Lonchura striata: one gene and its partners. Each later gene encodes a partner of the first gene's protein in a complex. Links are inferred from orthologs where the notes say so. Each region holds a gene or a part of one and is shown in the gene's direction. Other genes may lie near its edges.

Evidence for each region.
Region 2: PIGF (region 1) and PIGG share a complex: the UniProt entries of both Homo sapiens proteins name them as parts of the ethanolamine phosphate transferase 2 complex. The link is inferred for Lonchura striata from reciprocal best matches to the Homo sapiens genes PIGF and PIGG.
Region 3: PIGF (region 1) and PIGO share a complex: the UniProt entries of both Homo sapiens proteins name them as parts of the ethanolamine phosphate transferase 3 complex. The link is inferred for Lonchura striata from reciprocal best matches to the Homo sapiens genes PIGF and PIGO.

What each region holds. Positions count from the first base shown.
Region 1 is NC_134605.1:16,915,647-16,923,349, reverse strand, and holds the start of PIGF (GPI ethanolamine phosphate transferase, stabilizing subunit), read left to right. Parts: upstream 1-4,627; 5' UTR 4,628-4,737; coding exon 4,738-4,965; intron 4,966-6,594; coding exon 6,595-6,686; intron 6,687-7,548; coding exon 7,549-7,665; intron 7,666-7,703. Other genes in the region: CRIPT (cysteine-rich PDZ-binding protein), read right to left, coding at 1,393-1,496, 2,144-2,198, 2,618-2,683, 4,529-4,544.
Region 2 is NC_134642.1:4,203,491-4,211,014, reverse strand, and holds the start of PIGG (GPI ethanolamine phosphate transferase 2, catalytic subunit), read left to right. Parts: upstream 1-4,441; 5' UTR 4,442-4,489; coding exon 4,490-4,649; intron 4,650-7,524.
Region 3 is NC_134642.1:40,254,130-40,261,917, forward strand, and holds the start of PIGO (GPI ethanolamine phosphate transferase 3, catalytic subunit), read left to right. Parts: upstream 1-4,730; 5' UTR 4,731-4,779; intron 4,780-5,137; 5' UTR 5,138-5,138; coding exon 5,139-5,631; intron 5,632-7,545; coding exon 7,546-7,689; intron 7,690-7,788. Other genes in the region: STOML2 (stomatin-like protein 2, mitochondrial), read left to right, coding at 193-251, 505-606, 1,224-1,358, 2,479-2,623, 2,946-3,025, 3,237-3,365, 3,841-3,972.

The sequences.
Region 1 (7,703 bases):
CCAGAATATATACAAGTTTGGCAGAGGGGTGGATTGTCTCAATCTTTCCCTCTCCTATCACAGCAGAAAGGTGCTAAATCTTTTATCTGGTAGGACCACACCTCAATTTACACAAACATTCAGCTGCAGACAAAAAATGTCAAGTGGCATCTACTCCTGCTTTCTCCAAATTGTGTGCTTTCATATACTGACATCATGACTATCATATCTAGCAGTCCATTAGGGAAGAGAACAGCAGGGAACACGGCACACGATTTACTCTGGAGACCAAAATTCAGCCCACTAAATATTGACTTCAGGTCTAAACTAAGGATTAATTAACTTGAGATTGCTTCTCAATTTCAGAAATATGCAAAAGCTGAAGCACTGAGCTGTATGAATGCATTTGCTTCAAGAAGGATGCCCTAATGACATCTTTGATGGTCAGAGCTAGAACCTAAAGCACTTAGAAAGTTCTTAATTTTATGAAGATAACAGGTTTAACCTGAAAAGATACACAAAGATCAAATCCTGAAGTCCACCCAAACCAGACATAAATTTAAGAGAGAGTACAAGGTTCTACTGAATGGGGTTCAGTCTGGGAAGGACCTAGCAGGCAACATTCCTACAGCAGGCTGCTAAACCACTGACTCAGTGACACAGCACATATTTATTGAACATTTAATTTCATAAACAAAACTTACTATTGGTGAGCTGTAGGTCTACACTCAAAAAACAGTTCACCTCATGTGCTATAATAAAATTCTTTGGCATCAAATCACGTAACTGACTTTATGATAAGCTTTTTTCCATCTAGGAATTTTAGATTTAGCTATTATAAAAAGGGAAGAGGAGAGAAGGGATGAGAAAAGGGACTGCAACAAGCAATTGAGTTTTAGAACTTGTTAGATGAGAGTTCTCTATGCAATTGCCTAGATTAAGTTTCCAAATGTACTATTTCAGACACTGGAAACATTATAAAATAAGCAGAATTACAGAATGACAAGGGTTTAAAATAATCTCCTTCAGTCTCTAGTCCTGCCCCACTTAAAACAGCCAACTTGGATAAGGCTGGCTCAGGACTGTTCAAGCCATTCTCTGAATACCAGATTTAAAGATTTCACAACCACTGATGGTACCTGCTACTAGAGTATTTGATCACCCCCAGACTGAAAAATTGCTTTCCTTGCATGAAATTAGAATTTTCCACATTCTAACCTGTGTACATTATTTCTTATTCTATTTCTGTGTACCTAAGAGTCTGACTCCATGTTCCCTGTGCCTGCCTATCAGTAGCTGAAGATAGCAATTAAATCTCATCTTAACCTTCTCTTCACAAATACAAATTTAAGTGTTGTACCTCCTCTCTTGACCAAGCCAAAGTGGAGTATTTTGGCACTCAATGAAGCTCACCTTTTTTATAGGCACATCCTTGACAATAGTGGGACCCTGGCTGATGGACAGAACTCTTACAAATCCGACATATTGCAAATTTATTCTTTCCATAAGGATCAAACCTGGGAAAAAGGAAAAGTACTTTATTTATACTCCTTGAAACGAAGTATTTTTTCTGCCTCATTTTAAAAGTCTAAGCCAGAGGGTGCAGTCAGAAACTCCAGCAAAAACTGTAATTTAGAAAAGAGACATGCAAGAATTATTTCTAACAGGCTACACAAAGTATGCAGAAAAGCTCCCACTTTCCCTATTGAGAGACATTTCTTCCACCACAGACAACTTCATGAAAGCAGAACAAAAAATATTTATTTTTATTAAGATACTAAATGACTTTGAAGTTAAACACCTCCCAGCAGCATCTTGCCCCCTTGCAAACAGAAAGTCCTGCAGACATGCAGGAAATGCTCAAGAGATTATCCTGGCAATATTAGCACAGAAAATAAGTATTCTCAGCTTCTCTCCTACAAAAGCATCAAATCCTAGCAATTCCAGTGAGAACTGCAGCAAAATACTCCATGACTGAGCAGAAAGCACCCATGAAATATGTATGGACATATTTTTACCGACAAATCAAATACCTTAAGTCTGCAATTTTAATTTATTAAGTGTATTTGGACAAGTTTGGAGTAGCTGCCCAGCTATGTAGGAAACAGGTCTCAGTTAGTTTGCTAAATGATGTTCTTGGCCAAAATCAGTATTAAGGACTAACCTTGCCTTCTTTGAGGTCAATGCCTTGTTTTCATTTAATTTGCGACCACCGCTTTCTAAAAAAAAAAAAAAAATCAATAACCCCATTCCAACATTCCAAGCATACTTTAAAAATCCTCATTTACAACTTTTACACATATGCAAATAAAGTCACGAAGAGAGATTAAATATTCAGCACAGCATTGGAGACAGGGTAACAGAACACTTTATGCTCTGTTTAAATACTCTATGTATTGTCCTCCCATGCAAGAAAGAAAAAAACTCCAGAAAACAAAACCAGACCAATTCAATACCAAAGAGTTCTGGACAAATAAATTCCCAATGCATTAAATCAGCATGGGAGGGAAAGTACATGACTTAATATTTAACATGATTAGTAATATAAAGTTTTGGTCTTAAGATGTTAACATAGCTCAGGTGCACAGCTGGCTTTATAATACCTCAAAACCAAGCTGCTAAACCTTGCTGAGGTTACCTGTAGTGTTTCTTGCACCATCTTTCCATGTATCAGGAGTGATCACTGTTCCAAGCTTCTTCTCACCTACATAAGGAAACATTACAAAGGAAAAAGCTAAGAATCACGGAGTCAATTACGTTGGAAAAGCCCTCTGAATTTGTCAAGTCCAACCTGTGACCAATTACCAGCATGTACCTCGACCTTGGCACCGAGTGCCACATCCAGTCTTTCTTTAAGCACCTTCAGGGATGGTGACTCCACCACCTTCCTGGGCAGCCCATTCCAAGTCTCCATGACTAGGAAAGAATTCTGAATGTCCAACCTAAACGCGCCCTGGTCCAGTTTAAGACTGAGTCCTCTTGTCCTGTCACTGGTAGCCTGGCAGAAGAGGCCCGTCCCCACCTGCCTACAACCTCCTTTCAGGGACTTGAGGAGGGTGATGAGGCCATCCCTGAGTCTCCTTCTTTTCAGACTAAAAAACCCCTACAACCTCGGCTGCTCCTCATCACATCTTCTGTTCCAGACCCTTCACCAGCACTGCTGCCCTTCTGTGGCCTTGCTTTGCCACCTCAATGTCTTTTTGTAGCGAGGTGCCCAGAGCTGAACAGAGCACCTGAGGTGCGGCTTCACCAGTGCCGAGCACAGTGGGACAATCCCTTCCCTGGCCTTGCTGCTCACGCTAGTGATGATACAGGACAGAATAATTTAAACGATGCACATCGATATGTGCCACAGGCGGAGAAGGACAGCTCACACAGAGGAGAAGGACAGCTCACACAGGGGAGAACCACAGCTCACACAGGGGAGAACCACAGCTCACACAGGGGAGAAGGACAGCTCACACAGGGGAGAAGGACTGCTCACACAGAGGAGAAGGACAGCTCACACAGGGGAGAAGGACAGCTCACACAGGGGAGAAGGACTGCTCACACAGGGGAGAAGGACTGCTCACACAGGGGAGAAGGACTGCTCAACAGGGGAGAACCACAGCTCACACAGGGGAGAAGGACTGCTCACACAGGGGAGAAGGACAGCTCACACAGAGGAGAAGGACAGCTCACACAGGGGAGAAGGACAGCTCACACAGGGGAGAAGGACAGCTCACACAGAGGAGAAGGACAGCTCACACAGAGGAGAAGGACAGCTCACACAGGGGAGAAGGACTGCTCACACAGGGGAGAAGGACTGCTCACACAGGGGAGAAGGACAGCTCACACAGAGGAGAAGGACAGCTCACACAGGGGAGAAGGACAGCTCACACAGGGGAGAAGGACTGCTCAACAGGGGAGAACCACAGCTCACACAGGGGAGAAGGACAGCTCACACAGGGGAGAAGGACAGCTCACACAGGGGAGAACCACAGCTCACATAGGGGAGAACCACAGCTCACACAGGGGAGAAGGACAGCTCACACAGGGGAGAACCACAGCTCACACAGGGGAGAAGGACTGCTCACACAGGGGAGAAGGACAGCTCACACAGGCGAGAAGGACAGCTCACACAGGGGAGAAGGACAGCTCACACAGGGGAGAAGGACTGCTCACACAGGGGAGAAGGACAGCTCACACAGGGGAGAAGGACTGCTCACACAGGCGAGAAGGACAGCTCACACAGGCGAGAAGGACAGCTCACACAGGCGAGAAGGACAGCTCACACAGGGGAGAAGGACAGCTCACACAGGGGAGAACCACAGCTCACACAGAGGAGAAGGACAGCTCACATAGGGGAGAACCACAGCTCACACAGGGCCCTGCCGGGACCGCCCCCCGCGGCCTGCCCTGAGCAGCCCGGGACCCGCGGCTGCCGCTCCGCTCAGGGCAGCCCTGGATCCGCTCAGGGCAGCCCTGGATCCGCTCAGGGCAGCCCTGGATGCCCTCGGGCAGGCCCAGGCGGTCGGGCAGCCCTGGATCCCCTCCGCCCCGTACTCACACTTGTCGCACACCATGGCGCCCCTCCGCCGCCGCTTCCGGCACCGCCCCGGAGGTGCCGCCGGCCGGGCCCCGCCGCCTTCCGCTGCCGGGCGGGGTTTGGCTTTTCGAACGGGCGCTGCTTCCTGCCCCAGCACCCTCCCCTTCTCCCGCCGCCGGGCCCGGAGCTCCGTCCCGGGCCGGGGCGATGCTGCGGCGCTGCCCGGCGCCATGAGCGGGGCGGAGGTCGGGCGGCTGCTGGCTGCCAACCTGCTCCGCGCTCTGGCCGTCGTCCTGGCCGCCCTGGCCCCGGCTTTCCTCCTGGACGGATTCAGCGTCCTGGGAACGCACCTCACCTGGCTGTGTGTTTGTTCTGTCTGTGTTGCTGCCCTCGATATAATCTTGCACTTAGTCCTTAAACCAAACCAGTCTCCTAAGAGACGTTCCTTTGCTCACAAGGTAAGACTTTTAAAAAAAATTCTTACGTTGTTGCCAGTCAATCCAGAGGGGAAGCAAATTCTCTATCTCATTTAAAATAATCAAATGAAAAAAAACCAACCGATTTTTGATGGTGAATTCTCATTTTCTATCAGTGAGTTGAGTGTAGCATCTCTTGAAACAAATTTTTCAGTATTTTCATGATGTTAAACTTTCCCTACCTGTAAGTAACCTGTTCAGATGAGTGAGTCTATGCTTTCCTGATTCTTGCCAATGCAATATTGTTTATTGTCCCAGGAATTTGCGTGGTGGCAAAACCTGGCAAAATTAAATGGCACAGAACTAATTTTGTAGTCCAGGCCTGACTCATCTTCTTGGTAAGTGGATATACCAGGAAGAAATGTCATCACACGTTCCTCATGTGGAGTTGTAAGTTTGTAATAACTTTAAGAGGAAAAAAAATAAATTCAGAATCTGACACATAAAAGAGATACTATGCTACATTTCAACAACTGAAAAAAAAATTACATGGAAAGGTATTAAAATGCCTGCATTTCCTCGTATGATGAAATTTGCATACAGATCTTAATTTGGGAGAAGCTTTTTGTAGTTAGTTTGCAACGGGGAGTGTTAAAGGTGTGAATCCCAATGAAATACTTTGGAACAGAGTGGTTTTGGAGCAGCACACGACTTGCCCAGCAGTGGAGGAATACCCCAGGGTTTTGAAATCGGGTGGGGATAGTCTCACTCCTGACATGCTGAGCCAGGCAAGATGTAGTGCTCTGAGGTGGTTCTTAAATGTTTAAGTGATCTTCCCTGCCAGCATCTCTTTGTGTGCAAAGCTTGTGTATAGTTTTGCTGACTGAGGAGGATATGAAATGCACAAAACCATGATGGAAAGCAAGTATTTTAACCATCCATAATTTAAAAATGAAGCACACATCATGTTCTAGGTGAGATTTTATCCTAGGAAGAAAAAATAGGTAGGAGTAAATATAGAAAAATAAGGGAAGTTACAGATTCAGAACAGACCTGATCAAAACAGACCTCACCAGAACTGTGTATAAAGTGTTTTTGCCTCTACGTGATACAGTGAGTACCCAGAAACTGTTAAGTTCATAGAAAAGTGTATATATATAACTTACAGAAAGTTATGGATATTTCTCAAATATATTCAGAATTTAAGATGCCAAGTTCAAAATGTAGTTTTAGTTAATGTAATTTTGAATCTTTGTTTAGCAGACTTTTAATATATTGTATGTTTTCTTGCTTTTAAATTTTTTTCACTTTTTGTGAGAGTTGCTTTTTAATGAATGGATATGACAGATGTAAAACAGAAGTGTAAAAATGTCCAATAAAATTACTTCTGCTTATCTTGTAATTTCTGGTTATATTTTTTGTATGTTTTCCCTGTTTTAATGGGATGCGTGAAAAAAAAAATTGTAGGTGGATTGTGATGATTTTAAATTAATTATTTCAAGTACTAATATATGGAAAACTGTTTTGAAATATGCCATGCTATTATATTGTGCTTCAGCTGAAATTAAAGTACTAATCAGAATACAATGCACTTGATAAAGATTTAGAGGGTGTGTGTTACTTATGTTCTGTTTTGAAGCATTATTCTGATATTTCATTGCTCTTTTTTAGATATCCAGATTTCTAAAATGCTGTATATACTTTTTCATGTCTTGCATACTATTTCATGCGATTATTGTTCTTTATGGAGCACCTCTCATAGAGTAAGTCAAAAGACCCTCTCTTTCTCTAAATATTCTAAGGGGCAGCTCTCCCTGCAGATGTTGGTATAAATACTTGTGTATTTTCTCGTACACTAGAAGTTAAGGGATAAGCTCCTAGCTGGGGGAAGAAAGGTGGCTGTTTCAGCTTTCTCTTGGTTTTGGGTTGGTGGTTGGTTTTTTTGGGGGTTTTTTTTGGGTTTTTTTTGCTTGTTCAGTTGTTTTGTTTGGAAGCCAGCTTTTAAATGAGACTTCTATAAATAAAAACTGTAATACAGTTACAAACAGCTTCTTTAATTTTTATGTTCGACATATGGGCACAAATATTTTTTGTAGCTTTATTTAGTCATTTTCCCTATATGATTCTAAACCACATGGCTTGTCTTTCATCCTTTTGATGTTAGTGTTTTAACTTTTTTGAAAGTTTAATGAAAGAAGTGTGAAGCAACCTGGGTTTTGAAAGATATACTAAGTTGTTGACTAACAGTAGTTTAATGTAGTTTGGTTTCATGGTTGCTGTTACAACTGGAAAAATGGAATCATTAAATTGGTAAATATCCAAGAATACTTCAGTTTAGAACTAATGATCTATGTGAAGTACACCTGTGGTTTTTTAAAAATATTACAGGTCTCAGCCATTTCAAAAAATTACTACATCTCACTCTTGAGATAACAGCAGAACTCTTTCAAGCTTCCTTTACTATTCTACAGAGTAAGAAAAAAATATTTTATTCCTTTATATGAAGTTTAAGAAAGCGAACATGCTTTCACAAGTTGAATGAGAGGGACTTTGTTCTTCCTAAATCTTGGAACTTTTAGAAAAACCACCTCACTTAATTTTGTAATATTCTTTTTCTTTTTGTAGGTTAGTGACTGAGACATTTTTGTTTGCAGTTCTTCTGTCTACATACACTACTTTACAATGCTTGTGTTTGCTGGGACCAAACATACAGGCATGGATACGGGTATTTAGCAAAAATGGGTAAGTCCTAATCTAAAGTTTCTGATATTTCTCTGAAT
Region 2 (7,524 bases), on another chromosome or scaffold:
TATTGCTACTAAACTGTGTAAGCTTTGAGTGCAAGGCTCTGGGGGAAACTAACAAGCATCTTCTTTCTTCAATTAGTTCTTGCTCTGCAGCTTTGCTTCCCCTTCAAAAGCAAGTAATCTCATACTGCGGCAAGTAACAAGTCTGCAGTCTCCAGAAACAAACCAGGCTTTGGCTCCCTACAGCTCACCAGCTCAGGGGTTATCAGGGGTTATCTTCTCCAGTGATCCCTGGTTGCCTCAATCTCAAATCCCATAAGCTCTGCAAGCAGCGTTTCCAAAATAGCTAAATCTGGAGGCAGACACACGTGCACGTGTGCACAAAGACAGACAATCAATTATTTTATATGGATAAGCCTATTGAATTATTTCTTAACATGTTTTTCTTTCTATGTGAAGCAATTCCTGTTTCGTCTTAATTTCAGAAGCTGGGTTTACAATGCAATGCTTCTGCTTTGCCTTTTGCCTCAGCAACTACAAATCTCTGGAGGCTTTGTAGTGCACCAGAATGGAGAAGGGAGAGTCACACTTCAGCAGACAGTCTTTTATAACCTTTTCTGATGTTTTACTGTGTCTTAAATACAGCAGAGACCTGACATACATTCAAATTGCCATGTACTGAAGAATGGAGAAATGATAGGAGAGAAAATACTATGTGTCCTTCTGAATTTCTAACTACATCACAGTGCTTTCGGAGTGTCAGAACACCCTGGGAAGTCTATTTTATTTTTTTATTACAGCTTCACTTAATTTTGAATTAATTCTTCCTCACTCCCCTTGCATGTAAAAATGATTGCTTTTGCTTATATATGTCAATTTTGCCACTGTCCATATTCCTGCTTCACTTGCATGTCCCCAGTACAGTATTAAATGTATTAGGGATAAGTTTAAGAGCTATCACTGATTATAGAAAAGAAATGCCTGTTTAAACCATTGGCATGAGATGTTTACCTATCTGACATTGCCAGTTTCAGAAGAGATGTGCAGGTTTCACATAAACACACATATTCAGATGTGAAATCCTGTTAAATTAGGCCCAGAGAGGGAGAATAACTGATGCAGTTCAAAAAGCAAGGTGATGAGCTGCAGATACCCAGAACTTATAAACAGCAGGCCTGAGAGCAAAACTACAAGGGAATTATTCAAAATAAAGATAAGTAAGAGAATGGAAAAATTAAAAAAAAAAAAACAAAACCTGAGAAAACTTATTGCATATTTTCAGACTAGAGGAGAAGTGAAGATAGGGTCTGTGTTTCTAATGAAATTGTGAAACATAAGAAGTGAAAGAAGCAGGAGAGAAGGAGGTGGGGAAGCAGATATGCTGAGTGCTGACTAATGGGCAGTGGTGGCAGAGGACACAGAGACTGTTGGAAGGTGCTCCTCCCTCATGGAACACAACAATTTTTTATCTTATCTACTTTTTACTAGTTGCTTCAGTGAAGAAAGGCCTGAGGGATGCCAGAGTGACTATAAATATCACCTGGTTGCTTTAAATGTTGGTGGCAAAGACACTAACCAAAATGTGTTCCTACTGGTTCCTCCATTTGTCTGTTGAAGACAAGGCTTGGTTGGCTTTCAGTCTGATTTCTCAGCAGATTTGGGAAAATGCCTCTAGAGAGTGCTTTGCATAGAGTACTAAATTCTTTCTTCTTCCTCAGCATACAGAGATGTAAATTTGCTTGAGTGGCTCTTCACAACAGCAGCAGTAACAACATGCTCTCCCGTAGGGAAAGATGCAAATTCATCTCCCACAGGGATGGGTTGCACTGTGTTCTAAAATGTTTGCTGGCTCTGATGAAACAAAAGCCTTCTGAATCACATGAAGTGCACTATATTGCACCTTTCCAGACATTCTGGCATGAACCTTTAACCTTCCAAAGGCTATTTGAGTCAGCCAGTAGCCCTTGGCATAAACTGGCGCATGTGATTGCACAATTTATGGACACTGATTGTGTGCTGGGAAGCACACAAACACTTCCTCTGAATGCTCATGAAACCACTGGCTCTCAGGGCATAGATGTTTTATGCACAACAGAGGAGGTTATGCCCAAGAGCTTGTAAAACGGCCACAGCAGTGCACAGCAGTGCTTGTCAATATATTATATTGTAACACACTTGTAGACTCACAGACAGACCGATTTAAAGTCTTGTACAATGCTCAGGATGCTTCCTGTGTTTGAGCCCTGCAGTTAAGTGCTACAGTAATGGACTTGAAAGCATGTTGCTGCAAGAACTTGCCAAATGGTGATGGTACTCACTAAATACCCAGTGACAGATCCGAGGGAGTGTGAATCACATGCTAGATACTGTTTTTTATGTCTGTAGAGAAATTCTTTTTGCTGAACACAGAAATTCCGATCTTCTGTGGGAATTTGAAGGTTTGAACGATGGGACAAAGATGCAGCTTGGGGAATTTCCACTTACTGAAAGAGAAAGTAAGCTTTACACATGAAATAAAAAGAAGACAGATATTTCTTAGATGGTGTTTTGTGATGCATAAACATTGCCTATATTAGGTTGCTTTATATTCGTTAGGAAACTTTTCCTAGTTTCTGGTTGGAGAGTCTAACTAGTTCAAGGTTTAAAGAGCAGGAAAAATACCCTTAAAAAGCAACAAATACAGCTTTTCTTGGATGTACAAATAATGTAACTTTAAGGTATACTACCTAAAGCCATTTTAAAGTTTAAGTGCAATGGCCCAAAAGTGCTTTTTGCCTTGTCCTACTGTTTCAAGCAACATTCCTTGCACGTTTTTCTGAATTTCATTGCACTGCTCATAATCAGCTGAAGTTAATTACGGAATACTAACTTTCATGGGCCTTCAGAGTTGTGCTTCTGCAAAGAAACAAGTGGACAGTGTCGGCAAAAATGAAATTTATTTTAAAAGTAACGGTTTTAGATAATCTCAATAAATGAAAATGCTATTAGTATTCTCAGTAGAAGCATGAAGTGGTAAAAGTGGCCAGAAAAAGCACTCAGGTAGCCTAAAGGTAGCATAGTGCTCAGCGATGCTTATACATAAAGAGCATGAATCCATAGGGCTCATGCTCCTTGACTTTTTTTTCTCTGTATTTTTAGACCCTAGTAAAGGCCAAATACAAAACTTTTATCCTGAACCCACTCACACATGCTCCTGAATCCACTCACACACACTCCTTGCATCACATCAACTTTGCCTTGTGGCAGGCGATGCAAAGCTCAGAATTAACAGCTGGCCAGTGAAACCATCAGTAAAACCACAAATTGACCAACTGCAGCAGGAAAACACTGTACAATGCATTTGGCCTGCGTTTACACAAAACAGGTCATGCTTTGCGCTAAGAGAAAAGACCCAGTGGGAAAACCAGCCTGGAGCCTGCTCACACGGTTCTTGCTCTGTTTCCTTTTTCACAAAATTAAACTTTAAGACTTCTCCTCATCCTCTGACACGATCAGCCTACCATAGTCCATCTCCATTCCAATGGAAAAATTAAGCCACACCACTATTCAGTTTTATTAAGAGGGAGTGTGTTTGAGCGTGGAAAGATTCTCTTGCCAAACACCAACAAGGACTCCTTCCTCACCTGCCAAGCGCTCTTTACTGCAGCAATCCATCAAACCTCCTTTCGCCGTGTTCACCTTCCCCGGGGAACTCGGGGTGGGGTGTGGGGTTGGAACTCGGGGTGGGATGAGGGATTGGAACTCGGGGTGGGATGAGGGGTGGGATGAGGGATTGGAACTCGGGGTGGGATGAGGGGTTGGAACTCGGGGTGGGATGAGGGGTTGGAACTCGAGGTGGAACTCGAGGTGGGATGAGGGGTGGGAACTCGGGGTGGGATGAGGGGTGGGATGAGGGATTGGAACTCGGGGTGGGATGAGGGGTTGGAACTCGAGGTGGAACTCGAGGTGGGATGAGGGGTTGGAACTCGAGGTGGGATGAAGGGTGGGAACTCGGGGTGGGATGAGGGGTGGGAACTCGGGGTGGCGGCACCATGGGGAGTTGGGTCGCAGGTGTGGGACGCGAGATGGGGATACGAGAGTGCCAAGTGGGGGCTGGACCGCAGCGACCGAACGCACAACGGGACGGGCCCCGCAGGCGGATTGCGGAGGTGGGACACGGGGATCGGGGTGGGACGAGGGTCCGGGAGGCGGGTCCGGAGGAGGGATGAGAAGGCTGGAGGAAGGCCTCAAGGCGGGTCCGGAGGCAGGATGAGGAGGGTCTGGAGGCGGGTCCAGAGGCGGGTCGGAGGCGGGCGCGTGAGGAGAGCTGTGAGGGCGGAATGAGGGGCTGTACTTCCGGTTCGGTGTTGCCGTACGCGCTCGCGGAGCGGCTGCGGGCCGCTGGCCAATAGCGAGGCTTACTGGAGGAGCGCGGTCGTCGCTGGTTGGCGGGCGGCGGGCCGGAGGCGGGGCCAGGCGGGAGGGGCGGGGGCGGCCGCAGGTGCCGCCCCGCAGAGCCGGCGCAGCGCCGGCCGGGCCGGGTGGGGGCCGCTGTCGCTGGTGCCCGGGCAGGATGCGGCTGCGCTCGGGGGTGTTCGCCGCCTCCTGCCTCCTCGTGCAGGCTTTGGGCGTCGCGCTGTTCCTCCGCGGCTTCTTCCCGCTGCCCGTCAGGTCGGTGCCCCGCAGAGAGGCCCGCGCGGACCCTCCCGCCGAGCCGGCCCCGCCCGGCCCAGGTAACGCGAGCAGCCGCCCGGCGCGCCCGCCCTCGGTGCCGCGGCTCCTGCAGCGCCCTCGAGTTTCCACACCCGCTCCCCGAGTAGCTTAGAACTTAACTGGTTTTCACGTAGCTGCGGATCGCAGGCAGGAATACCTGCTCACAGTCGAAAAGCCTCAAGCGTCGGCTGTCACTTTTTTGAGCCGTGATACGCGGTGCTGTTCAGTGGCACCTGGTTTGCATTAAATGCTGCCGCCTCAGCTGAATCGCCTCACGCGTTTGTGATCATTCGCTGGCTTGTTGTGTCCGAGATTCATTGTTTCTGCGATGTTTCTGTGGTGTGTGTGCCTTAATGCCACCTCAGTGAGATTTTAACAACTCAGTAGTGACAAAGCAACCGTAGTAATGCAGGTTGCAGTATGTACAGTGTTGCCGTCCATCACCATTTTTGTGAAATCACTCTTTATCAGGTCCTGCTCCATTCCAGAGCTGAATTTGTGAAATCAGAATTTTCAAGAATCTTTTTAAGGATACTTGTCTCATATGTTCAGTCACAAACTGTATTAAAGTAATTAGAAGAGGACTGTGCGCTTGAGGGACTGGTTTTTCACCAGTTTGGAGCATGTGGGATGAAACTTCAAGTTCACTTGGCACCTGGATTGAGTATTATTTTGCTCATACAAAGCTCTTGATTGGGACACTAAGTTATGGTTAACTTTTTGGAGCAGGACTCTAACTCCCAAACTGGGTCTTCAGCTGCTTGATATTTACTGTTAATTCTTTTGAACTGTGTGATGTTGTGCCTGTAGGGACAGGCTTACTTAAATTTTGAGTTGCAGTGGAGAGAACAGAAGGTTGTGTGATTTAGAGTGTGACATGCTGGTATTGGTTAAGCAAGAACAAGAAACAATCTAATCTGGTAACAGACAGAGTGGTTTCTGCTGAAAGGCAGGTTGATTTTTACCTGGAGTTTACTAAGACTGCCACAGGTATTTGATAGACTGCTGTGAGTGAAATATTGCATTCACATGTGATTATTTAGGAGAAGACTAATGTAGAAGGAGACTGTCAGAGATGTCAGACAATTTGGGTATGAAAGGACGGGTTTGTGTTGAAGAGTAAAAGTGTGTGCCACAGGGCTCTACAAGCAGTTTAAATTAGGCATGTCATGAGCAAGCCTAAGTGTAGTAGGCAAAAATGGAAAGGCAGTAGAAAAATATTTCCTGTAGTACTTGGTTACAATGTGCTTGCAGAGTGATACCTGCATGATAAGGTCTAAAGGCAGGGTAGTGCTTACTAAACCATGATGCAGGAGGCTTTCAACCTACTTTAGACCTATTCAGAAAAGAGTATTTCTCCAGTGCTTCTTTAACTCTTGAAATGTTTCCCTTTGTGAACACTCCTGATTGCTGTTGAGTGCATGCTGTCTTGGCTGTGAGAAGACTGTGATACTGAATGCTTGCAGCACATTATTGTAATATGTTCTTGATAGAGAATCTGTGGTTTTCTTCACAGAAGTTCAGGTTCATAGACCTGAACAGTTAGAGTAACTGTTTTCTAAGTAATCCTGGCAGATATAAATAAGCATACTGCATGGCCAGGCTTGGACATTGTGTTGATTTAACTATCTTACAGTAAGTATTTTCACGTGGCTTATATATGACTCCAAATCCATTTGAACTTCTCAACACTTTGACTTTCTTATAAATCACACTGCAGGAGGAAGTTAGGAGTAGGGCATATGTGTTTGTGATCTGAACATTTTTGGTGTCCAGCAAGCTTTCTTTTCTAAGCAGTGGATAGGGGAAAGATGTAACTAGCAGAACATCTTGGTGATGCCTTCTTGCTTTTCATGGAGAGCTAAAGCATGCTGGATAAGTTGATAATTCAAGTCCTGGAAAAAACAAAATTTTCAGTTGAATTAGGATTGCTTGCAGTCAGCATTTTGTTGTGATTTCCTTCTTATCCCTGCTGTGCCCTCCTCTCCCATTTCCTGATATGGAAAAATCACTAGCAGTAACTAGTATGTGAATGTTAGGTTGTTGATGCTTATCTGTGTACCCCAAAATAAAATTTCTGAGGTTGTTTTTGTTGTTGTTGTGTTAGACACACCATTATCTGCCACCTTCCAAGTTGTCAACCACTTTTGCATAAAAAAACTCTAAAGGACTGTAAAACCCCTAACTTTATATAAGGCATGTATGGAACAATTGATTCAACACAGTGGTGTCTGGATAGAGGCCTGTGGATAGGATATATCCTGCTTCCATTTTGCCCTTGTGTGTTTCTTCCTGATAGAGAAATGAGACCTATAGAGGTTGGAGCAAAAATGCTGCTGTAAGACCTGAATGTCACCATGTGGACCAAGTTCAATGCAGATGAAGAGTTGCTGTGGCCAGAATTAAGTCCATGCAAGAGAAAGAGGTGGGCTTGAAGGCATAGCGTTGCCTACTGCTTGATGCACACCTATATATTCAGGGAATTCTGGAATTGGATTTTGACCCTGCAGCCGCCATCACTGAAGTAGTCTGTCATACAGTCTTCTACCTTGAAGGGAGTTAATATGCATAAATCTGTTTCATGCAGGTTTCAGTGACACTGTCTCTTTCTTTGTAATCTTCCTGTTATCTTAAGGTGAGATTTCACACAGAAGCACTGTTTATGTTGTGATGTGCAAAACTGGGTATTAGCACAGGTGAATGCTGTGTCTTTTTTGAACAGAGATTGTCTGTCAGACAACTTGTTCAGCTTTACTGAAGTAAAAAGAGGAGGTAGCACCTATTCCTTCTTATTACTTAGAACACTCTCCATTTCAAAGCTTTTCCTTAGTTTTCCCAATTTCATGTCTGTCCCACATTCCTTTCACATCTTGTTTTACTTCCTGGAGGTGGTAT
Region 3 (7,788 bases), on another chromosome or scaffold:
TCCAGGGAATGTAAGATCCTTTTTACAAAGCCTTTAGATAGGAAGATCTATTTCAGCCAATCCTCTTCTGCATCATGCTGATATGTCACAGTGAAAAAGGATGAGCCTGCCCAGCTGTGCTGTGGAAGAGGGGGTTTCTGTGTTTTGTTTGTGCTGGTTCACTAAACAGGCTCTGCTGTTCTCTCCTGACAGATAACGTCACCCTGCAGATCGATGGTGTGCTCTACTTGCGGGTTATGGACCCCTACAAGGTACCATCCCTGTCCCTTGGGCACGTTTTTTCTGGCTCTGCCCACTCCCTGCTCCCCAAAATGTGTACTCCAGCCTCTGTGTCCTGCCTGGCGGGTGGGCTGGGCACTCTGACTCATCCCAAGGCTCCAGACTCCATGTTTTCAGCAGGGATGTCTGGCAGATTTCTTGCTGCAGTGCTGTTTGTCTCTCCTGCCTTGTTCAGGGTCCCTCTTGGCATCCCTATCCACTCTGTTTTGTGCTTCTGCTCTTCAGGCCAGCTACGGGGTGGAAGATCCTGAGTACGCAGTGACCCAGCTGGCCCAGACTACCATGAGATCTGAACTTGGCAAACTTTCCCTTGACAGAGTCTTCCGGGTGAGCTGGGGAGGTGGATCACAGAGCTGACAGTGTCTCCCAAAATCCCAGGACAGCCTGCATGGCCAGGCTGCTATGCCTAACAGCAAAATGCCCTTTTGCATAGAGGGCTTATGGCTTCTGTTTCAGTTGACCTATTGGTGAATCCTTGGAGATGGGTCTTCTTTCAGTTGATTTTTTCAACGGGAGCTATTTTTTGCCCTGCCCTGGGTTATTTGGAGGGGATGATGGGTGGTATGTGCCCAGACCCAGCTGGTTCTAGCCACCTTTTTTGAGTCAGTGACTCTTTGCTCAGCCCCAGTGATGAATATCCTTGACCTGTGTCATGGGGTGCTGTAATCCTTGTACTGCATTTGCTGGGAAGAAACTGGAGTTGCTGGCATTCTCTAGTATTCAGATGTTGTATCCCAGCAGCTTCAGTGTGAGGCACTGCTCTCCCTAGGAGTTGGTGACCCCTTCAGCAGCTGCAGGAAGCACCTAACCCTGCCCGAAACCTGTGGAGGTGATTTTTTCTGGCAGACCTTAGCCTGTAAGGGAGGTGTCTGTTTCCCTCCTGACACCTCTCTCATGCTAAACCCTTCTTCTCTGCTCTCTGCCATTTCTTCTGTGCCTCCCAGGAGCGGGAGTCCCTCAATGCCAGCATTGTGGATGCCATCAACCAGGCTTCAGACTGCTGGGGCATCCGGTGTCTGCGCTACGAGATCAAGGACATCCACGTGCCCCCACGTGTGAAGGAATCCATGCAGATGCAGGTGAGGCTCTCTGGGAGGGGGTTCTGGAACAAGAGGGAAGCTTCCTCTTCCATACTGCATTATAGAATCACAGAATCAATAAGATTGGAAAAGACTTCATCAAGCCCAGCCTATGAACAAACACTACCTTGTCTACCAGACCACGGCACCAAGTCCAATCTTTGCTTAAAGATCTCCACAAACAGTGTCACTGACACCTGTCTGGTAGCCCATTCCAATGTCTAATCACCCTTTCTGTGAAGAAATTCTTCCTAATGTCCAACCTAAACCTCCCCTGGTGTTGCTTGAGACTGTGTCCTCTCATCCTGTTGCTGACTACCTGGGAGAAGAGGCCAACCCCTGTGTGACTGCAACCTCCTTCCAGATAGTTGCAGAGAGTGATCAGGTCTGTTCTCAAGACCTTGTCTCCTCTTGTCCAGACTAAACAACCCCAGCTCTCTCAAGGACTTCTCATCAGACTTGTGCTCTAAATCTTCCCCAGCTCCATTGCTCTTTTTGGACACTCTAGCATCTCAATGTCCCTCTTGAGGTGCCGAGAACTGGACACAGGACTCAAAGCATGGCTCCCCAGTGCTGAGTACAAGGGGATAAATCACTTCCCTGGTCCTGCTGGCCACACTATTGTTGATAAGGGCTGTGGTTCATTATTGTTACCTGTCCATAGCTGGCAGCAGCCACCCCTTGTTCAGAAGGGCACTTTGGCTGCAGACATATAGCTACTGAACCAGTAACTCCTGTCATAATTTTTGTGGTATTGGCCCCTGCCTGCTACATACAAGCCCTGCCAAGTCCCTTTAAAATCCAATCTGTGGAGAAGCAAATCTCAGAGCTGAGATTTGAGAAAAACTGGACACCTTGGGAAAAGCTAGACACCAGATATTTGGGCTGGAATAGGAGGAGAGGGAAGGAACTGTCCACTTAGGTGGGAATGGGGCTGGAAGGGCTGTGTGGCATGAGGAGCAGAACTAGCCCTTGCCAAGACCACACAGTGTTCTGTAGCTGTATTTTCATGCTTTGCTAAGCCATGCTTCCCCCAGCAGAACAGAGGAGCATGAATGCCCCAAAGATGGTATTTCCTCATCACGCCCATGGCAGGCTGGTGTCTGACCTGTGTTTGCAGGTGGAGGCAGAACGACGGAAACGGGCAACTGTGCTGGAGTCAGAGGGGACGAGGGAGTCAGCTATCAATGTGGCTGAAGGCCAGAAGCAGGCCCAGATCTTGGCATCAGAAGCTGAGAAGGCTGAACAGATCAACAAAGCTGCTGGTAGTGCCTGGGGATAAAATGTGGGTTTCTGTAGTCCTCTGGACTGAGGGGTGGTGCTGTGGGGGAGACTGCATCGCTGTGAGCCAGGCTTCCTCAGCCACTGATTCTTCCCTCCTGGGGCCTCAGGCTAAGCTCCAGTTGATGTTGCTGTCCTGCCCCAACCTCCTGTAAGCAGGAGGCTTGCAATAGTGTTGCTCTTGGGGAAAATCCAACCATGCGTGGATTGAAATTGTCTTGATTCACTCCCTGAGATGGTTGGGATTCAGTCCTTGTGAGTGCTTTGTCGTGATTCTGATGTGCACCTTGCTGTGGTTCTTTGCAGGGGAAGCAAATGCCATGCTGGTCAAGGCCAGGGCCAAGGCAGAGGCAATTCAGCTCCTGGCCGCTGCTCTGGCACAGCAGGTGAGTGATGGCTACCTGGAGCAGCCACTGCTTTGGTGCTGGCACTGGGGGAGGTGAAACTGCAGGTAGGGTGGCATCTGGTTTTCTCCTGGACACTCCCTGGCACCTTCGGAAGCAGCAGGGAGTGAGGATCTTTGCTGGACTGGGGTGGGCTGGGGATACAGGCAGGGATGAGCTGTTGGTGGTACGTGACTTGTCCCTCTGTCCCCAGCACGGCAATGCTGCTGCCTCCCTGTCTGTGGCAGAGCAGTATGTGAACGCTTTCTCCAAGATTGCCAAAGACTCCAACACTGTTCTGCTGCCTGCCAACACCGGCGATGTCACCAACATGGTTGCACAGGTCAGTGTAGCCCATGTGTCCTGGGCTGCGTCCAGAGCCCCGTGGGCAGCAGGGGAAGGAGGGGATTCTGCCCCTCTGCTCTGCTGAGACCCACCTGGAGCACTGCATCCAGCCCTGGGCTCCCAGCACGGGAGGGACAGGGACCCAATGGAGTCAGCCCAGAGGAGGCCACCAAGATCATCAGAGGGAGGGAGCACCTTGGCTGGCTGTGAGGAAAGGCTGAGGGGGTTGCTCAGAGAAGCTGTGGGTGCCCCATCCTGGGAAGTGTTTGTGGTCAGGTGGGATGGGGCTCTGAGCAACCTGCTCCAGTGCGGGGTGTGGAGGGGCATGAAAAAGATCTTTGAGATCCCTTCCAACCCAAGCTGTTCTTGCTCTCACCCAAGTGAGGATTGTTCCAGGGAGGTGAAGAGGCCATCAGGGTGGGGCCTGGCCCTCTCCTCTCCTTCCCTCCCTATGACTGTCTCATTCCCTCCAGGCCCTGGGGATCTACACTACACTGACCAAGCCACAAGCTGTGAAGACCCAAGATGAGATGCCCCCAGCCCAGGAGAACTCCCACTCTCCTGCCACAGAGGTGCTGAAGGCAGAACAGGGCAGCTCCAGCTAACAGGGCTGGAAGGATCTCATACCCTCTCCTGAGGCCTGCCAGCAGTCCTGCTCTGCTGGAGGCAGTCAATCTTGTTCCCTTAGTCCCTATTTTGTATTGGATTTAAATCATGTAATAAATGGTAACAGTACTGCTGCAGCATGTTCCCTCATGCTTGGGTGCCTGACCCTAGCATTCAATGCCAAAGGGGGATCATCCCTCCTCAGCAGGCTTCTGCTGGGATTTCCCATGGATATGCAGTGACATATAAGAGTGAAAAACGATGTTAAGAAAAAAATCTGTGAGCATGGTGAGGTGCTGGCACAGGTTGTTCTGGGAAGTTGTGGATGAGGCTCTGAGCAACCTGATCAAGTTGAAGGTGTCCCTGCTCACAGCAGGGGGGTTGGAACTAGATGATCTTCAAGGTACCTTTCCAACCCAAGCTGTTTTATGATTTGTGAATTTGGAAACCCCACTCTTACGAAGGATACCTCTCCCAGTGCATCGCCTCTCTGGGAGTGTCAGCTACTCTCATCATCCTGTCCTCTGTCTGCTCCCAGAAGCTGCCCCTACAGTGTATGACTGTGTTCTCTACAGCGAGCTCCTCACATCGCCCAGCACAGGGCCGGGAGTGCTTCTGTCGATTAATTAATTATTTGATTAATTAAAACCACACTTTCGCCGTTGCGAGCGCACCTGGCGTGGCGGGAGGCGCGCTGAGACCTCCTGGGCGCCAGGAGGCGCTGCCGCCGCAGGCCGCTCCCCGCCGTGCCGCTCCAGCGCGGTCGGCGCCACGCGCGGCGCTTCCGGGAGCGCCGGGCGCCGCAGGTGGGCCGGGGTCAGGTGGGCCGGGGATCAGAAAGGCGCTGTGAGGGGCTGGGGCGTGGGGGACACAGCGGCGTGGGTGGGGGCTGGGCGTGTGTGAATGGGAATGCGGGTGTCGGGAGGGGGCTGGGGGTGCCGGGCAGCGCTGGGCAGTCGGGAGGGAGCAGGATTCAGCTCCGTCCGGGAGGGGATACAAGGAAGTGCGTGGGGCAGTTGCCGGACACGGAGTGGGACCAAGGGAAGTCAAGGCGGGCTGGGTGGGTGTGGGAGGTGCTGGGCCAGGGATGGGTGTCGGTACGGAGGGAGTGGTGTCTGCCCAGGTAGAGCCGCTGGGGCTGAACCTGCCTGTCCTTCCCTCTAGGATGCAGCGGTGGCCAGTGGTGCTTTTCCTGGCCTGGGTTTGCCTTCTCTTTTTTGCCGGTATCGGGCTCTTCATGAGCGGCTTCCTGCTCACCCGGATCGAGCTTGCCAGCAGCAGTTCCTGCTCAGACCCGGTCGTGCCTCCACTCTGGGAGAGGCAGAGCCTCCCACCAGGCTCCTGCTGGGTTCCCCAACGCTTTTCCAAGGCCGTGCTCATCATCATTGACGCTCTCCATTTTGAGTTTGCCCACTTTGACCCCGCCAAGACCAGCCCACTGCCCTACGAGAACAAGCTGGGTGTCCTGCACCAGCTGGCCACCTCCCAGCCCCGCCATGCCCGGCTCTACCGCTTCCGAGCCGACCCCCCCACGGCCACCATGCAGCGCATCAAGGGCCTCACCACCGGCTCGCTGCCCACCTTCATCGACGTGGGCAGCAACTTTGCCTCCTACGCCATCCAGGAGGACAACCTGCTGGCACAGCTGGTGCAGAATGGTGAGTTCCTGGCCTTTAGCTCAGGCGAGGGAGTTTCAGAGTGGATATAAAAAACCATTTTTTCACAGCTATACGAATAGGTTGCCCAGGGAAATGGTGGAGTCACCATCCCTGGAAGTGCTTAAGAGACTCTCAGATCTTGTGCTGCATGGTGTGGTTTGGGGTTTATAGTGGTGGGTGGATGATTGGATGGATGGTTTTTAAGGTCTCTTTCAACCTTGATGATTCTGTGTCTGGGGCTGTTCAGCCTGGAGAAGAGAAGGTTGTACAGCAACCTCATAGCAGCCTTCCAGTACCTGAAGGGGACCTACAGAGAAGCTGGAAATTAAATCTTTGTCAGGAACTGTAGCAATAGAATGAAGAGGAATGGGTAAAAATTGATGGAGAAGTTTAAGTTAGACATGAAGAAGAAATTCTTTACTATGAGGGTGGTGAGACACTGAAACAGGATCCCCAGGAAGGTTGTAGATGCCTCATCCCTGGCAGCGTTCAAGGCCATGCTGAATAAAGCCTCGGACAACCTGATCTAGTGGGATCTAGTGATCCCATCCTACCCATGGGATGGGGCTTGGAAGTGGATGATCTTTAAGGTCCCTTCCAGTCTCTTAACATTCTGTGATTCTCTGTGGGCAGGGCAGCAGCCCAGTGGAGCAGGGCACATGCAAACTCTTCTCAGTTTAACCTGTATTCCAAATCTTGATTACTTTCTCCCTGGGAAGTGCACCCCTTACAACAGATCCACCCTGTGAGCTGATTCTTTATCCTGCTTTGTGACAATTGCTTAAGGCAGGGTTGTCATGCAGGCAGGACATGGGTTGGGAATGAGATGAGAAGTGCTGTAACAATGACTTCATCATCTTCAAGGATGATGAGAAAGCAGGCAAAAGTGGCAACACTGGTGGTGTTTGTCCCAAGGTCACCCCCAGGAATCCCTGTAGGATTGCCAAGGTTGTGTTGTGTGAGGCACGTGACAGGGGAGGAGCCAGGTGTGCCAGGTGGTGCCAGGTGTGCTGTGGGGGTGTCCCTCAGGCAGCCAGCCTGCCTGGACAGCTGCCTGCAGGCATGAGACAGCAACCTCATCGCATTTTCATTGTGGTTTGATGCTGCTAGGGGGTGCTTAGTTCTGCTGTAAAGGGCTTGTTACAGTGGGATAATGGTGTAGAGGGAAGAGGGCAGGCCACAGTGGTTTGTTACCCAGAGAGACTTCCTCCCAAGGCTCACAATGGGCTAAGGCAACATGACTTTGAGTGAGCAAGGTGGGCAAATGTAGTGAATCACCTGAAGTAAAATGAAGATGGTGATCACCAGAGATCCTGTGCCAGAGTAGCAGTCTCAGAGAAAATGTTCCTTGCTTCCAGGCTGAAAACGCTCTGTGGAAATACAGCTGGCTGATGGCAGGCAGGGCAAGGAGAGCAAGGGCAGAGGGAAGCATCAGTGCTTTTGCCTTCTCTTTTCCATGTCTGAAAATTGTTTTTAAACGCCAGAACTCAGGACTCACATCTTCTCCTCCATCACCTGCTGCCTTGCATTTTGCAGTGGGGTCACGGGCCTCAGGTGAGGCTTTGTCTGCTTAATGCTGCACCCTGTGCACCCACCTGTGTTGTGGTGGCCCAAGAGCCTTTCTGCAGGGGTGATGTGTCAGATCAGCAATAAGTCCTGAGGTTATGCAGTGACTTTGTTGTAGGGGTATGACACAGCTTACAGATACTCGTAGACTGGTCCCTCCCTGTATTCAAAGTATTTTGCAGACAGATGGTCTTTTTTTTAGTGAAAATTTTAGTTTTGGGTGTGGGTTAGAGAAGAACCATTGCTCCAAATCCTGATGTGGGCCTGCTCAGGCTCTTTGGATTGTTGTGGTAGCAGCATGACTCAGGAGGGCTCCATCTCTCATTCGTTCCTTTCTCTCTGGCTCAGGAAGGAGAGTGGTCTTCATGGGTGATGATACATGGGAAGGACTCTTCCCAAAGAAGTTCTTCCGTTCCTATTTCTTCCCTTCTTTTAACGTAAAGGATCTTCACACTGTGGATGATGGGATCCTGCAGCATCTCTATCCAACTGGTAAGTAGATCTCTCACCAGGGCCTTGTGGTATTCCTACTGCAAATTTGAGGTAGGGCTGGAGGATTTTTTTCTGTTACAAAGGAGCACTGGGCTGTTA